Linked DNA regions of Oryzias latipes. The protein of the gene in region 1 purifies or fractionates together with the protein of each later gene. This does not show direct contact. Links are inferred from orthologs where the notes say so. Each region holds a gene or a part of one and is shown on either strand. Other genes may lie near its edges.

The links. The genes of interacting proteins can lie anywhere in the genome.
Region 2: the proteins of gli2 (region 1) and sufu purify together in Homo sapiens (affinity purification with mass spectrometry; 3 studies listed by BioGRID and IntAct, with this or other methods). This does not show direct contact. The link is inferred for Oryzias latipes from reciprocal best matches to the Homo sapiens genes GLI2 and SUFU.

The regions. Positions count from the first base shown.
Region 1 is NC_019860.2:10,603,970-10,611,745, reverse strand, and holds the start of gli2 (zinc finger protein GLI2), read left to right. Parts: upstream 1-2,858; 5' UTR 2,859-3,268; intron 3,269-7,776. UniProt on the Homo sapiens protein: Functions as a transcription regulator in the hedgehog (Hh) pathway. Functions as a transcriptional activator. May also function as transcriptional repressor. Requires STK36 for full transcriptional activator activity.
Region 2 is NC_019873.2:23,438,004-23,446,081, reverse strand, and holds the start of sufu (suppressor of fused homolog), read left to right. Parts: upstream 1-3,926; 5' UTR 3,927-4,107; coding exon 4,108-4,256; intron 4,257-4,626; coding exon 4,627-4,761; intron 4,762-4,948; coding exon 4,949-5,085; intron 5,086-5,967; coding exon 5,968-6,110; intron 6,111-6,817; coding exon 6,818-6,903; intron 6,904-7,723; coding exon 7,724-7,796; intron 7,797-8,078. UniProt on the Homo sapiens protein: Negative regulator in the hedgehog/smoothened signaling pathway. Down-regulates GLI1-mediated transactivation of target genes. Down-regulates GLI2-mediated transactivation of target genes. Part of a corepressor complex that acts on DNA-bound GLI1.

The DNA of each region.
Region 1 (7,776 bases):
ACAGTTATGATTTAAGTTACGTCTTTTATTTTCATTTGATTTGACTCATTTTGGAGCCGGGTGGCCACACAGATGCAGACTGAGATCAGGCTGCAGATGGTCTGCAAATCTGCCGGGAGTTAAAGGACTCTTTTATTGTTCCACCTGTTTCCAGCATCACACTTATTGCAAGGAAATACCCGGATAAAGCCCAAATGATGTTGCACTATCAGGTCAAATCACGTTATTAAAAATATTAAAAGTTCTTTGGAAGCCTTTTTTTCCCCTCCAATGTTTTTTTTGTCATTTTTTAATGGGGTCATTGTGTTTGGTGTTCAAGTTGACATTGCTCACCAGCAGGGGGCGGCAATGGGCTACTTTCTACTTGATAAAATCCAGCCTTAAATGTCCAGTTGTCGTTTTGATAAAGAAATTGATAAATGAATATTATAAAATAGTTAATAATATTTTGCTAATCTTGATTTATTGGCAGAAAATAAATCGTTTAGAAGTATGTCTGCATCAGGTTTGGACTTTGAATTTTGTAATTCATTAAACACAAACAAATTCTTGAATTGATACGAGATAAAAAGATAAAAAAATAAGTGAAATACCAAAATCTTATTGCACTAAGTAGAACCAACTAAACTTATTTTTGGGATCTCAGTAAGGGAGACCATTTGTCAAAATAGCATTATTGATAAGGGTTGTGCATTATAGGAGTGTCATTAATCTATTCACTCTTTCTGCTCTTCTTTCCTTTATTTTCATTTTTCTAGTTCCATTAAGTTAGAATTTGCAAATATTAACGAATATTTAGTGGTACTTATTCCTTTTACATTTTATACACGACTGAATATAAAATAATAAAGGTAATGTTATTACCTTTATTATTTTATATTCAGTGTCAAAAAAGACTACTGAAAAATAAACAGCGAAAAAGAAAACAGATGTCTGAGTCAAATTGGTTCCATCCCTCAAAATAATTATAATAAGTATTTAAATATTACCCAACTAAATTAATATGGATAGCTGATAGTTTGATAAATAGAAATAACGGTTTTTTTATGTAAATGTATTTCCGTCTTGTCTCCACTAGATGTCACTATTTTCCTTCAAAACTTAAGTAGATTTTTTCAATTAGAAACTTCCACAACAAACTCAACAAATACATTACATTTTTTCTGTTGTTTTGTTCATTTCCTTCATTTTTTATTTTATTAATTTTTTTTGGAGCAGCTTTGAGAGTCCTGTCCTTAATTGTAACTACAGCTTCACCTTTTCTGATTGACTATCTAGGATTTAGGTTTAAAATAATTTTGTTTAAATTCTATCACTTTAGTCGACCCATATTTCAGAAAACAGATGCAAATCATCACTTTGTAGAAAGATTTAAAAATGGATTTTTATTTGTAATGAAGAGGAGTGTATTTAAAAAATAATAATATTTAATAATGAACTTCCATATCTTCCCAGTGGAAATTTTTCTTTCCTAAAAAAAGAGGAGTTCAAATCAAACACATTTAGTTTGAGATTGTCAGGAGTTTTTTTTTGTTTTCTAACTGGGTTTTCAATATTTACTCTGTCTTTCATAACGCCACATTTTTGTCCTACTTTTGTTCCTTTTCTGTGGAACATCATCCTCCCCCTGCTGCTGCCACATCCATCAAGTATAAAGGCCTTATCCCTAAAAACTGTAACTTGTTTTTTGTTGCAAAATGACTTTTCATACTTGACCCTGGTGCAATCCTATGGTGGATAAAGGTGCAGAGGATTTCATGTAATCCATGGACACCAGTGAAGATCACAAATCATTGAAGAAAAAACGTTCAGCGCACTGTCTAGTGGGTCTAGATGACCCCACTCCCGATATCAGAGTGCCTAGGATAGAACAAGGGTTAAGTAAGTAAAGATAAAAGATTTCACAAGATAAAAACATTCTGTATTTTCTGCTTGAACCTATTGTATACAGTGTGCTTTTATTTCAATGTTATGTCTGTTTGTGCATCTAGTTTAAATGAACATCTGTTTAGATTCCTCACAGGAAGAACTTGGTACATGCAGAACACAGAACCAACACTAGAGGTCAGGCTTCTCTGAGATAGCGGTCCAGATGAGAGCTTCGCAGAGGAACTTGAAACTGGAGTCATCCCAGTTTGAATCTGACTTAAAGTTCATTGAAACAGTTCAAAGAAGCTGGGACTAACTTCAGATCAGGGGCGGAGCTAGCAGGGCGGGAGAGGGGCAGTAGACTTTGGAATGGTGGCAAATGAGAAAAGCAGAGGTAACGGCCATTACAAATAAAAAATACATACTTCAAACTATTTTATTATTATTACGAATGTTAAAACAGCTTTTCTTTTAACCAATGTGCTATTTCTAATGCTTAAAGAAGCTTGTTTTGATGATTTATTAATATTTGTCAATGAAAATACTAATATTGACTCAAAAATTAGAGGGGCGGACATTTTGCGGGGGAGGGGGGCAGCCTTGTCCCCTGTAGCTCCGCCCCTGCTTCCGATTATTTTACTATTTTTATCTGATTGAAAAATGTATTCTTATAAATGGGTGATAAGACTTGTTTGGGTGAAAAAAATACATTTTAAACTTTTTACTTCACCTAGGGTCAGCTTTTTTGTCACAAATCATCACACTTGTTGGTCAAATTTAAATTTTCTGGCAAAATCAAGATGCAAATATCAGGGATTGATGAGAAAAACAAACTAACAAACAATTTTTTTAAAGCCAAAACTAACCCAAGATGTTTCGTGAAATACTCTAACAAGTGTATTTGAAGAAGATTTAAATTAATAAAAGAGCTTTAATGAGCCAATCAAAACGAACTGGGAAGGGAAATATCCAGCAGGATCCATAATCGATGATTGAACATTAGTCCCGTTGAGAGGCGGGTGCGGAGTAGGAAGGGGGGAGTCACAAGAGGAAGAGGAGGAGGAAGAGAAGTGGGGTGTGCGGAGGGGCGGTGAGGAAGAAAATAACGGCGCATCCTCGCGGCTCAGCAGCATCCCGACCACGCCGCCGCAGTTCGGAAAGTCCTGCCAAGTTTTCTCCAGAGAGGCCGCCGCGCGCGCGTGCCGCGGCCGATGGAGCCGCGCGCCTCCGAACTTCCAGCTCCGCGGTACTTTTCCAGGGAGAAGTACGAGAGTGAGCGCCGCGCGCCTTGACACGGATAGGAACCCGCGCGGCCCGGACTGGTTCCGTCTTTCTGACGAAACTTTCCGAACCCAGACTTAGCTAACCATAAGAGACAACACGAAGCACAAGCAAAGGGGTGAGTCGAACTTTTTCCCGGAGATTTTGATAAGATTTAGATTTCCACTTTAAAAAAAAAAGGTAATTTGCTTACTTTTTAAAAAGAATATATATATATATATATATATATATATATATATATATATATATATATATATATATATATATATATATATATATATATATAATGCTCATATCAGGATAAAAATAAAATATAAGATATATAGAGATAGAAAGGATTAATTGAGTTTGTGCAATGATGGGAATTATATTTATAGCTGTTAAAATGCTGCTTAATCAGGTCACTGATGGTGATTCATTTTTTCAAAAACTGCATTATTTACATATTTTCACAGTTTCAGGGTCTAGCAGCATCTCTACGTGGCTGGACATTATAAAAAAATTACAATACTCATTTTATAGGGAGCAGAAATTGATGTTTGCATCAAAAAGACTTTCAAATATTTACTTGTTAGTCCAAATATGAAATCTCATTTCTGGTGTTTGTGAAGGTGGAACATCTCCTCTGCCTGGAGCTGCTGCGGCTTTTCTCTCCGCCTGAAAGGCCGCCTGCGTTCATTTGCATCAGAAAAAAGTTTTAGTGCATTTGCTTTTGTGCAGGATGAAGAGTTCCAGCAGTCAGGGAGCAAAAGGGGGGGGGGGGGGGGGCTGAAAAGATGTGAGGAAATAATGGGGCCCTTCACATTATTCAGGATGACATGAAGGGGGGGCTCCCAAACCTGTGAAGGGATGTCACTTTCATCCAGCGCTGCCGTTTTCACACAAGCCCGCCCTGCGCCCGTCATTACCGGCCCTGCTGCGGGTTCTCCCCAAAAATCTGCGCAGAGTTTAATGAGAGAAAAGAAAGAATAACACGCGGGGGCTGCACGGGGAGAAAGGCATGCGGGCGGCCACGGGGGCGCGATAAATGGGAATTGGAAGTGAGTAAAACACCCCGCTGTGATGACTCAAAAGTCTCTTATCCCACAAAACAACAAGTCCGCACCAATTACAGCATGTGGCCCCGGGGCCTTGCCGCAGGATCCTTGAGCAGAATAGCAGCATCAGTGGATTTAGAGAAGGGGTGGCAACGAATCCACAGATGTCAGACCTGCTAAAACACATCAACCATCAAGGAATCCACTCAGTTCACCTTTAAACTAAACCAGAAAGCATCGACGCGGGGGCTCGTCCGGGATCATTTGACTCATTTTGGGCGTTAATCATAAGAAGTAAAAGATTTTTTTGAAATGAAGTCATCTCATCCGACCTTTTTTCATCATCTTTCTGATCAAAATTTTGTCTCACAAATGAAACAGCTAAAGGTTGTTGTCAGACTTGTGAGGTTTGCTCGGTGAAACTAGCGTTTGTGTGTAAATGAGCTCGAGTGAAGCTGGTAGAAAAGTGCAGACAAATGTTTGTGTTGCGTTCACGCCGTCGGGGCCGGACCCTCACGCCTTACTTCCTGTGGAGTGTTTAGATGACGGCCGCTCTGGTTTCATGAGTAAGTGGATTACAACTGTTTAGTTTTCTGGCCGACCCCGACTAATCGCTGGCAAACAGTCTGGGGAGTGAAAACAGGATGATTATTTTGACAGCAACGCTGTAGAAATAAGGAAGGCTGGAGGAGCTCATAAATTCTGCAACTTTGTCAAACACGCACCCTTGTGCGCATGCACGTGTGCACACACACACACACACACACACACACACTCTGCTTTATAAACATTTATTTTTAGAGTCACTCTGAAGATCTTCATCCAGCAGATCTTCCTTAAGATCAGACAGAGGAAAGCAGCCATCATACAGCAGCAATTACACATGATGAAAACACGCCTTTGTTCATGAAACGCAATCACACACACACACCGACACACACACACTAAGGACCAGTAGACATGTGAAATCAAAGGTCCAGGGGCCGCTGAGGGGGGGGCTGTAGTTCCTCCTCTGTGAGCTCGTCAGATTGGCTTTGATGCATTTGTTAATTAACTCCTGCAGGAGCGTGTTGGCGCCACCATCGGGCTGCGTGACACTGCAGCTCTTTGACAAAAACGACGGTCCCGACACCGTCAAAGGGGGCGATGTCAGCAAGTCAGAGATGAAGAGTGCCCTCCTCTGCCTCAGGCAAGGACGGGGAGGTTTACGTGGTTTTCTTTGGCTGTTGCGTCTCTATGAGGCTTCATCCAATCGGGGTTCACCCCCCCCCCCCCCATCTGCTTCTGTCCATAGGGGCCCCCTGGTGGCATTCCATTAATGCTGGAGCGTCACAGGTTTGTCCTGTCATCCGCTGTTAGCTCTCCCTGAAGGTGAGGACGACACCTTTGAGATTCTTAGTCGTCTCCTAGAAAACATTCCATCTTCCTCGCCGTTTTCCAGTCACTTACAAACTCATAGAGAGCGGAAGCATCGAAGCTTTTGAATAAAGAGAGTAAGCTACAGAAAAAGAGATTTGTGGGTATTCTTTTTGGTACGTCGAGTGAGCTCATAGTTTTGCAAAAAAAAAAAAAAGAATCTCAAACACACCAATTCTCTCGAAACAATTCCAGTCTAGTTAGTTAGAAAATGTGAGTACTTTCAAGTTGCAAATGGTCAACGAAAAAAGGGAATCGGACATCTTAGGCACACGAGTGATGCAAAACACGCTAATAAAGTTAGTTTTTACTCCATTATAAGCGGCATTAGTGTGGTCCGATTCATTTTTATCCATGGCCCTCAATGCCAGACACGTCGCAAATAACAAGCGTTCTTTGAATTATCGCAACTCTTCAGCTGTTTACGCAATGGACGTAATCCCAACGGATTCTGACTTGGACAGAAGCAGCTTTGCGCCAATATTCTACACTTTACAGTGATAAAGTATTGACACAATTAACGTAAACCAGCTGAAACCTACGCAGGGAAAAGACGGTTTACGCAGATATGCTACACTCAACAGAAGTAAAGAGTTTACCCAGTTAACGTAAACCAGCTGATTGTGACGTGGAAAAAGGCAGCTTGCACCACTAATTACGTTAATTGCGTGAACGGTTGAAGAGTTAGGCTAGTTCAAAAAACATCAACACTGGAGCCAACGCTCAGATGTTAAAGGACTCGACGGTCAGTACGATTATACATGTATATTTGTGTGTGTAACATTTAATTTCTCAAAATTTAACTGTTAGCTAACCTTACAGTTAGCTAACCTTATGCTATCTTATTTTAATCGTGTCAATCATAGTAAGTCTTTTATTTTCACTTTGGAGGTTTCATATTTGAATTTTTGTGCGTTCAGAAAGCGAGGTAAGCATGTGCAGAGGGCCTTGTTTTCAACTGCCAAAACGGGAAAATTAGAAAAAATTAAAACCTTTTGGCAACCAAAAAATCAAAATCCCTGACAGACTTGGATGGTTTGAGACAAATAAACTAAACATTAAATGCTTACTTGTGTGTATTTAGATAAAAATGGCTCCTCTAGCAGTTAATTAGTTGAATCGGTGACTTAATGTTTGGAGGTGACAAAGGCTCACCGCGGTGACCTTTGGGGTCCACGCAGGCGGCGCAGCACAGGAAGTGATGGTCCACTCGAGCTGTAAAACAGCGAGTGGCCATGCTGCAGCTGAACCATTTGGTTGAGGGTCAAGGATCAAAGCGGCCACGGAACCTCAGTGGCGAGCTGGAGTGGACTTCACACCGCCATCAACACGCTGGAGGCTGCTGTGAGAGGTTTAGAAAGTCAAGGCGTGCAGGCTCCTAATAAGGGCTGACAAAGAGGTGCAGGGGTCAGGTTTTTAGGCATTAAGTGACGCTAAAGGGCTTCAGAGTCTCGCCTGTCAAGGTCTGACACAGCAGGGATCAAACCCGAGACACAGCAGCTTTAACACCGGAGGAAGTAGAAAAAAGTGGAGCGAGGTCTTCAGGAACTCGCTTGAAGAGCTCCAATCAATCTTTGGTGTCAGAAAGTGTCTGTGCTGTTTTATCACTAAAACTGACTGACTCTTAAGCATTTTTCACCCCGAAATTCAAAAGTTTCTTCCAACTCTTAGAAAACGTTTGATGCCGTTCCCCTAAAATGGAGAAATCAAGCCAAAGTTGAACGGAGTACCTTGCTGTTGAGTGCATTAGACATTAGACATTGATTCGGTAAAAAACCCAACATTCTCTGGACTGAAATGTAAAAAAAAGCAGATTATGTTGCAAATTTAAGACCTTAAAGGCTCCTCAATCAAAGCAGGGCCTGAACACAACTTCGTGGGAACTCGTGGATTCAAACACTTTACAGGAAATCACAGATACGTCACACCATGTTGCGGTTAAGAACTGGTGGCATGCCCTTTGTCACCCGAGGAAGCCACCCTCTGCCCTACCTACCCCCAACATCAACCAATGAACGGTCAGAAGAAGAGATTGTATTACCGCGCTAGACTTTTCCACAGAAAACTGTCTGTCTGGAAGAAAAAAAAAATACACGCCGTGTCCACGGTCTGTCTTGTACGACACAATGTTTGTTGTTGCTCATGCTGAGATGTTTTGAGCGGGCTGCTGTGT
Region 2 (8,078 bases), on another chromosome or scaffold:
GAATCCCCAAAGGATGATCAAGAAAAGTCAACCTCAACATTAACAGAGCAGACCATTGTTCCTCTGATAATATTCAACAATCGTCAGAAGCACCATTAGGAAACATTATCAGCGGTTCAAACATGACTGTGCATTTCCTCACAGAATTTCCAATAGCTTAGGATGTAATCGTACTGTATTACTAAACTTTGTTTCAGTCTTACATCTAGAAAATCAACCCAAAATTGGTTTCGGTTTGAGAAAACATTTGGCAAACTTCCAGCGTGCCCAATTCGTCATCATCTCTCATCTCGACAGCTGTTTGTGGCCTCAGGGGGAATTCCTGGTGCCTCGAGTAAAAAAAACAGCCTTTCCCCTGCTTACTTTATGGGAACAAGGGGCAGGGCAAAGTCAGATGGTTTTCCTCAGAAACTATTATGTGTTGAATCACAGTGAGGGGGCGTGCTGTTCACTCCCACTGCTTCCTTCTTACTGGGAAGTGACTGTCAAGCTTACCGTATGGAGGGAGTGTATGAAAAACAGAGGAGGGGAGGATGATGGGTGATGTGGAAAGGTGGCTGTATTTAAACTTCTCTGCTCTGAGGGTCAGACACTCTGCTTCATCCTTCCTTGGAATTTGGAGGGAAAAAGAGAATGAGAAAACTTTGGGGAGGATCGGAGCTAAACTGGACAAGAGGAAAACGCTTGGAGCATTTTATATGGAGGGTTTTGTCGGGTAAATCTAGGATTTTTGAAAACAAAAGGTAGGTTTTGGTAAAAATGTCAATGGACATTTTGTTTATTTTTCAATATAGCTCTGCTGAGAGAAAAGTGACTTCCACATTATATGAATATGAACTTTATGGAGCAGCTTGGCCCCTGAAGAAGAGGATTTTTATTCTGTGTAAACTTAAAGATGTCTTGTAAAGTAATAGGTAGGAGAACCGGTTGTTTCCCACTCCAACTGCCAGAAAGATATGAGTTTCCTGAATGTGTTTAGGTGTGGCCTCGCTCAGAAAATTCTCTGCACATTTTGTACACAATTAGAATCTAAAAAGCCACATAAAGAAAAGAAGGCAGTCAGTGAAATAACACTGACAATGTATCTCACTGTACTGCCAGAGGTAACATTGACTCCAGACCTTGAACAAGGTGCTTTTCTTTCCAGCGATGAGAGTGAGCTGCACAGGTCAGTTAATGTCAAACTTTGGTTCAAAAATGCCCTAACCGATCTTTTTCCTGCAATAGTGTTTCTCTGTATCATTTCCTGGAAGTGTGCGGTCATAACAGATGAGTAATTTCATCCCTTGGTCAGAACACAATCGCCCTGATCTGATTCGGCGCTCATATATGAGCTTGTTAGACTATCGTGTTAGTGGTTGTAAAGCATTTCCAAGAATACTGCTGCTTCTAACATGATCAGCTCTTTCAGCAAACCCTAGAACCTTGTGTGAGTTTTACCCATGCACGCTCCTGTCTGCTTCCTACTTTTCTTTTTATTTGAAACTTTAAGAAATATACCTTTTTCACATTTCCAAGCAAAAACGTACTAATGTTTTATTTTTTTAAAGTACACCACAAGAAGAGATTGAGATGAATATCAGCCTCTGTTAAACTTAGTCAGCACATACTTAGCCGTTGCTCAATCTTTAAGTGAAAGAAGCAGAGTTGACGTTATCACATCATCATCTTCTGAGGAAGTGCAGATGAATGACTTAGCTACATCATGAAATCACATCACTTACTTTAAATTATCCTGACTTAAGAATCTTGGTGGTTTTTGTGTTGTCTTGTATCTATTCTTTAATGCAAAAATGTGTAAAAACGTTGATGCTCGAGTCAAACAACTTTGCTGTTCGAGGATCAACTCCTGAAGGCGGTTTACGAGAAGTGCTCTACTATGAGAACTGAATTCCATAGATGGTAGCTTTTCTAGGTGTCATCTATGGGCTCAGTTCTTTTGGCATGGTACTGGTTTGTCGAGCATGCCGCAAAGCAACAGACCACGTGCATGTAAAGCCAAGAGTTCTTGTGCAATGAACATTTGTGGATGGTTTTATTATGATTGTATGTTATACATCTGTTTGAAATGCAAATGAATTTCTTTCAGATTATACACTTCAACTAATGTAATTAAAAAGAATAAATAAAAGATGGATGTTGTTTATTTTATATTCTAATAAAATATTTGAAACTATCTTTGTCAATAAGTTATTTTAAATTTTTTTGCTGTTTGTTGAAAGTACCAGCTTATCTCATCCGCATCTCTGTGTTTCCTCAAAAGCTGGATCCATTGTAATGGTGGCCAGCAACAATTTTAAAACAAACCTTTAAACCATTTTGTGTTTGATTTTTCTCAATGAAAAGAACATAAATTAATTGGGCGTTATCAAAATGTCATCAAAAATCAAAATTGTATAGTATTGATGCTTACAAAACCCAGAAATAACCCCTAATCGGCAAATAGAATTGTTCTATCTGGAAAAGTTGTGACGCTTCCACCCAGATCTCTTTAAAATTTGATCTGGAAAGCAAAATATTGATTGAGACATAATGAAAGCAGAAGCTTTTAATTAAGAGATTATTGTGCATGAAAGCAGTTGTGTCATTGTTTTGCAATGAACCATGTTCGATCTTGAAACTACAGTTGACACATCAGTTTATTTAAGGAATTTCTTCCTGAATCACATAACACTGTCCCACTGTAAGATCAAAACAGATACCACTGACAGGTTGCACAGCGAGGTTTGGAATTCTTATCTTTACTCATGTCCCACGCAGAAACCAATTTCTCTCTTGTTGAAAGACGTTTCCCCTCAGTTTCACCCACACCTGATCTCACACAAAATGATCAAAAAACAGATTTGACTACAATTTACACAGCTGTTCATCTGCAACGTTCTGTGTGATTAAAGAACAAATCTTAATACCAAAGGAATTTATGACAGGCAGGTGGGGATGTTTTGTGTTTTTATAATAATTTTGATAATCCGTACATCTTTTAAACCCCCCTTTTGGGGTTAGACGGTTGCTGAAGCCTTGATGGACAAAGGTTAAGTATGCGCTGGGCAGGTTGCCATTCTGTCACACACACTTAAGGGGCAATTTAGACATTTCAATTAACCTATGAAGCACATTTTTAGACAGTACGGTAAGAAGAAGTTGGAGTTCCCAGAGAAGACCTGGAAAAGCCCCATAGCTGGGATTTGAAGCAGAGCCTTCATGATGTGAGACAAGAGTGCTGACCACTACACCAGCGTGCAGCCCAATTTTGACATATCCTTCTATGGTGGGGTTATATTTTATTATTTCACTTTCATGCTCATTCGGAGCAGAAGGAAAGGTTATCCCTCATCCTCAGTGTCTCCAATTTGAGCACATTCAGAAACAGTGTGTGTATTACTCCCCACAGCAAAAAAAAAAAAAAACATTTTTATTGATTTTGTCTAGTTGTTTTAGGGTTAATTCATTCACACAAAAAAAAATCCAAAGCTCCCTACTTGGATTCTTGGCGCCTTTTGTGTTGATTTACATTAAATGTCATCACTCTTTTGAAATTTGTTCTGTTTTATAATAAAAGAATAATATAATAGCTGCCATGAGGTCATAATTATTTAAGACCAATTTTAGATACAAAAAAAAATAATATGGAGGCCATCAGGTATATATTTTGTATATCTGTTTTGCTGTTGGAGTACATTTCCCTATGAGTAAAAACCTAATGAAACATCAATCCGTCCGCATAAGCACTGGCCTCTACTATAGTTGCATCATATAGGTTAATTGAAAACTATAATAATAAAAATGACAACAATAATTTTTTGACCACAGTTTTTTTAAGTCCGACACAGCGGCTCAAAAAGCTCCACTCCTATTGGTGGATAGAAGCGTCGATCTGTGACGTCATCCTCCCTGGCCAACCAGCTGTTTGGTGTTTTTTTTTTTTTTACCCCTTGTGGACAATGAGCAACAGGCCCCTGAGTTTAGCACAACGAGGAGAGTTCACTGTTACACAACGCCTTGCTTTTGAGAGATTTCTTTATTTTAGTGTCCTGAAAAGTAACTGAATTTGTTTATCTTTATTTTTTCGTCTTACAAAGATAATTCTGGATTGTTTGAGGCCGTGGTATGGACGAGATACGGCCTGTTAGCGGTGCGCCAGCCCACGGGCTGGTACCACTGTTTCCTCCGGGGCTGCAGGCTATCTATGGGGAATGTCGGCGACTTTATCCCGACCAAGCCAACCCGCTGCAAGTTACTGCCATTGTAAAATATTGGTATGTAACAAACCATTATTTTTAATCTGACAAAAATCTTTATAAGAGACTTTTTTGTGTGTGTTCTTCATGAAGCGATAGCTAGCATTAGCAGAGAAAAAGTTTAGCCTAGCTAAACAACTTAGCTAACATTTGGGAGATTTCTTCAAACAAAGGATGTTATTTTGATGGAATTCGGAATTTTAGCACCAAGTTTTATTGTTAAATAAAGCACAAAAAAGTGTAAATAATAACACTAAAATCTTTTCATCTCTCAGTCAGTTTAGGTACACATGACAGGTTTTGGAATAAACGTAGTTTTTTGACGCATCATGTATTGATCTTAATGGAAAACTTGCTTTTAATAAATGAAATGTTGTCTATACATTAGGCTTGGTGGGCCAGACCCGCTAGACTACATCAGCATGTACAGAAACATGGGCCGTCCTGCTCAGGACGTTCAGGAGCATTGGCACTATGTGAGCTTTGGCCTGAGTGACTTATATGGCGATAATCGTGTTCACGAGTAAGTTTTTGCAAATTTATTGACATGCTATTAAAATCATGATTAATCCAAATGTTGATATGGTACTGCACCCCCCCCCCCCCCCCCCCATAGTTAGCCATATGTTTTGATCTGTATATATCAATGCAGAGATTACCAAGGCAAGCCCTGCTGTTTATAAAAACATACACAAATTTACGTTTTTCAGATTTACAGGGGCAGATGGACCTAGTGGGTTTGGCTTTGAGCTCACCTTTAGGCTCAAAAGAGAGGTCGGAGAGACTGCACCTCCCACATGGCCAGCTGAACTCATGCAAGGATTGGCACGATATGTCTTCCAGTCAGGTAAAAATCGCAATCTGGTGCTCCTTCAATGTCCACATGCATTCAGATGATGCTGAAACATACATTCTCATGGATGGATAACAATTTTGAAAGTTTGATGGACTCCTGTTCTTGATGTACATTAAAATCCATAAAACCGTTTGTGAAACTGGTTGCTGCTAGTACGGCGTTTAAGTATTTAGCTCTGTTATTCGTTTTAACTATACATCCATTTAATTTAGGAACGTTGATTACTTTTTAAGGCAATTCTTTTCTTGGCATATGGTCTTCCAGTTGAAATCAATTTTTTTATTTATTGAGAACTGTTTTTTTTTATTATTCTATTTCAAAGATAAAAAAGATAGAGTTTTGTGGCTCCTGTAAACATCAAGAGTTGAAATGCTATGTTATCAGGTTTCTAGTTTTCTTCTGAGCCTGGATCAGAAAAATGTGGCTGAGTTGGGGTAGACACAAAGGAGGGGAAGCCGTTTACTCTAGGCTCTCATTTCCAGCTGGGGTCAGTTTGGATGTGGGTGGGCTCCTAAACAGAATGATTGCTGATTTTTCTGACCATCCTCCCCTTTGCTTCTCTTCTGAGTCCAGATAGGGAGCTTGTTGCCACCCAAGCAGATGCATTCACTCAGATGGATGAAGGCCATTTATTTAGTTTTTCTTGTTGTTTTCTTCTGATTTTCTACTCATCCTTTTTGTTATGTCATTTTTTGGGGTTCTTATTGCCTTGATTTTGTTATTCTTATATTTCTGTGCAGTGATACAGTAAAGTAAAGGAATGAGGAATGAGTTTGAAAACACAGACCCAGATGTACTAGACTTGATCTCATGACAGTCTTAACTTCCAACCGCATTGGTTGAACTAAAAAATAAAAAACTGCCTCTCTACAGAAAACACCTTTTGTAGTGGTGACCATGTTTCATGGCACAGTCCACTTGATAACAGTGAATCTCGGATCCAGCATATGCTGCTCACAGAAGACCCGCAGATGCAGCCAATCCAGACTCCGTTCGGCACAGTGAGCTTCCTTCAGGTGAATCCAAATTCCCTTCAGCTACAGAGTTCATAAGAATATATAGATATTTCTTTAGTTTTTGTTTGTTAACCACACTTTAATATGTTAGGTCGACCGGGTTTGTATATAATAAATATAGATTGGCATATTATTTTTCTGTGATTATCACAAAAAAAGGGATTTAAAAATGTATTTGTCAGTATCACAGTTTTGGTTTTTGCATTTAATTCTGTTAATTAAACATTCACTTTGAAGGTTCTTGTGTAACAAAGAAGGAAAAAACTGTTACAAAAACACTCCAATGACTGTTTCTACTGTCACGCTTCGTATTGTTTCTTTGCCTCGCTCACTTGTGTTTTTCTGGCTCATCTTTTTGGTTCATCATATGTGGATTGTTTGAATCTGAAATTCTGAGGTTTTCATTCTAGCGCCGCTGCTAAACTGTTAACCTTTTGTTTCTTTTACTTAAGTCAAAATGTCATATGAACATCAGAGAAATAAAACTTTCTTTTCAAACTGCATTTAAGGAACAGGAACAAAAAAATAGCTTTTTTTTTTACATGTTTCCAACTCTATTCAAATGTCTTATCTACACTCATCTGTTTTTAAAGGTCATACTCAGCATTATTCGTGTAAATAGCTAAAAGATTATCCTATATATATGCATTAACTATAAACAGTGCAAAATACCAATAACTGGTTCTGGTGGGTTTCCTTTTCATCAGATTGTGGGTGTTTGCACAGAGGAGCTGCAGGCGGCCCAACAGTGGAACGGCCAGGGCATCCTGGAGCTGATGCGTGGAATCTGCATGTTAGTAGAACAGAGTTTCGTTTGCTTTTTTGGTGTCCTCATTCTGTTCCTACAGAAAGAAAGAGGCTCTGTGATCTTTTCACTCCCTCAACAGTGTGATGCTTTTCAATACTCATTTCAAAATGGATTCTTTTAGCATCAGCCCACCTGATGGTTTCTCTGTTTCTGTTTGAAAGGTTATTACAGCGAATTTGTGCTTTGGTTTTCCTTTAGGTCATTTAGATTTGATTCATTATTTTTCCAAAGTTGCAAGCATAATTAAAAAAAAATCAAATATTATATACAATAAATATTGATAGATGTGATGCAGAAGTCTCCTTATTTATAGGAAAACATATATTTGAAATGTTTTTTGGTGTGTGCTGCAAAATCTCTCATAGGTTAAAATGTATATGTTTTTGTAAAGTCCCTTGTTTTCTGAATGACGAAAAGAATTTAGTGAACAGAATATTTTAAAATAATTTTTTAGACAGTCAGACCATGACAGGCTAAATGTTAAGGTGTTTAAAAAGAAAACTGAAATCTGTGTTTTAGCTAATGTGCATCCACTTTGACTAAGTAGCAATCATCTTTGATTTCCGCTAAGATTTGACTTAAATGTAAAAAATAACTTTTTTGGTCAGTTCTTTTATGTCAGAAACAAGTCTGCTGGGATTTATTAAGCTTTTGTATTAGTTTAGGTATAATCTGTGTGCCTAAATTTGTTAATTAAAGTTTTAAGGGGATTCCCTGGGTGTAGTAATTGAGAAATGCAGTTCTAATTCATCTATACATGCCTTTTTCAACCTGAGGTTAATGTTGATGCTCCCTCTGTGTGCAGAGCTGGTGGCCCTTGGCTTATCACAGACATGAGGAGGGGAGAAACCATTTTTGAGATCGATCCACACCTACAAGTAAGGTTTTATTTAGCATCACGTGGAATGTGAAGCTCTTATTTGACATATTAGTATGAATCTAGTTTAGATGAACTGAAATACATGACAATAGCTTTAAAAATCTTAAAATGATTAGGGATTCCTGCTCATCTTTTTATTTGATCCTTGCACATTTGATTGTTGACTGGTTTTTATTCTATTTATTTTTCTGTATACCATGTATATTGACAATAAAGGCTTTCTATCTTATTCGTAGAAATTTACAGTAAATATATTAGACAGAAGTTTAGCATTGGAGGC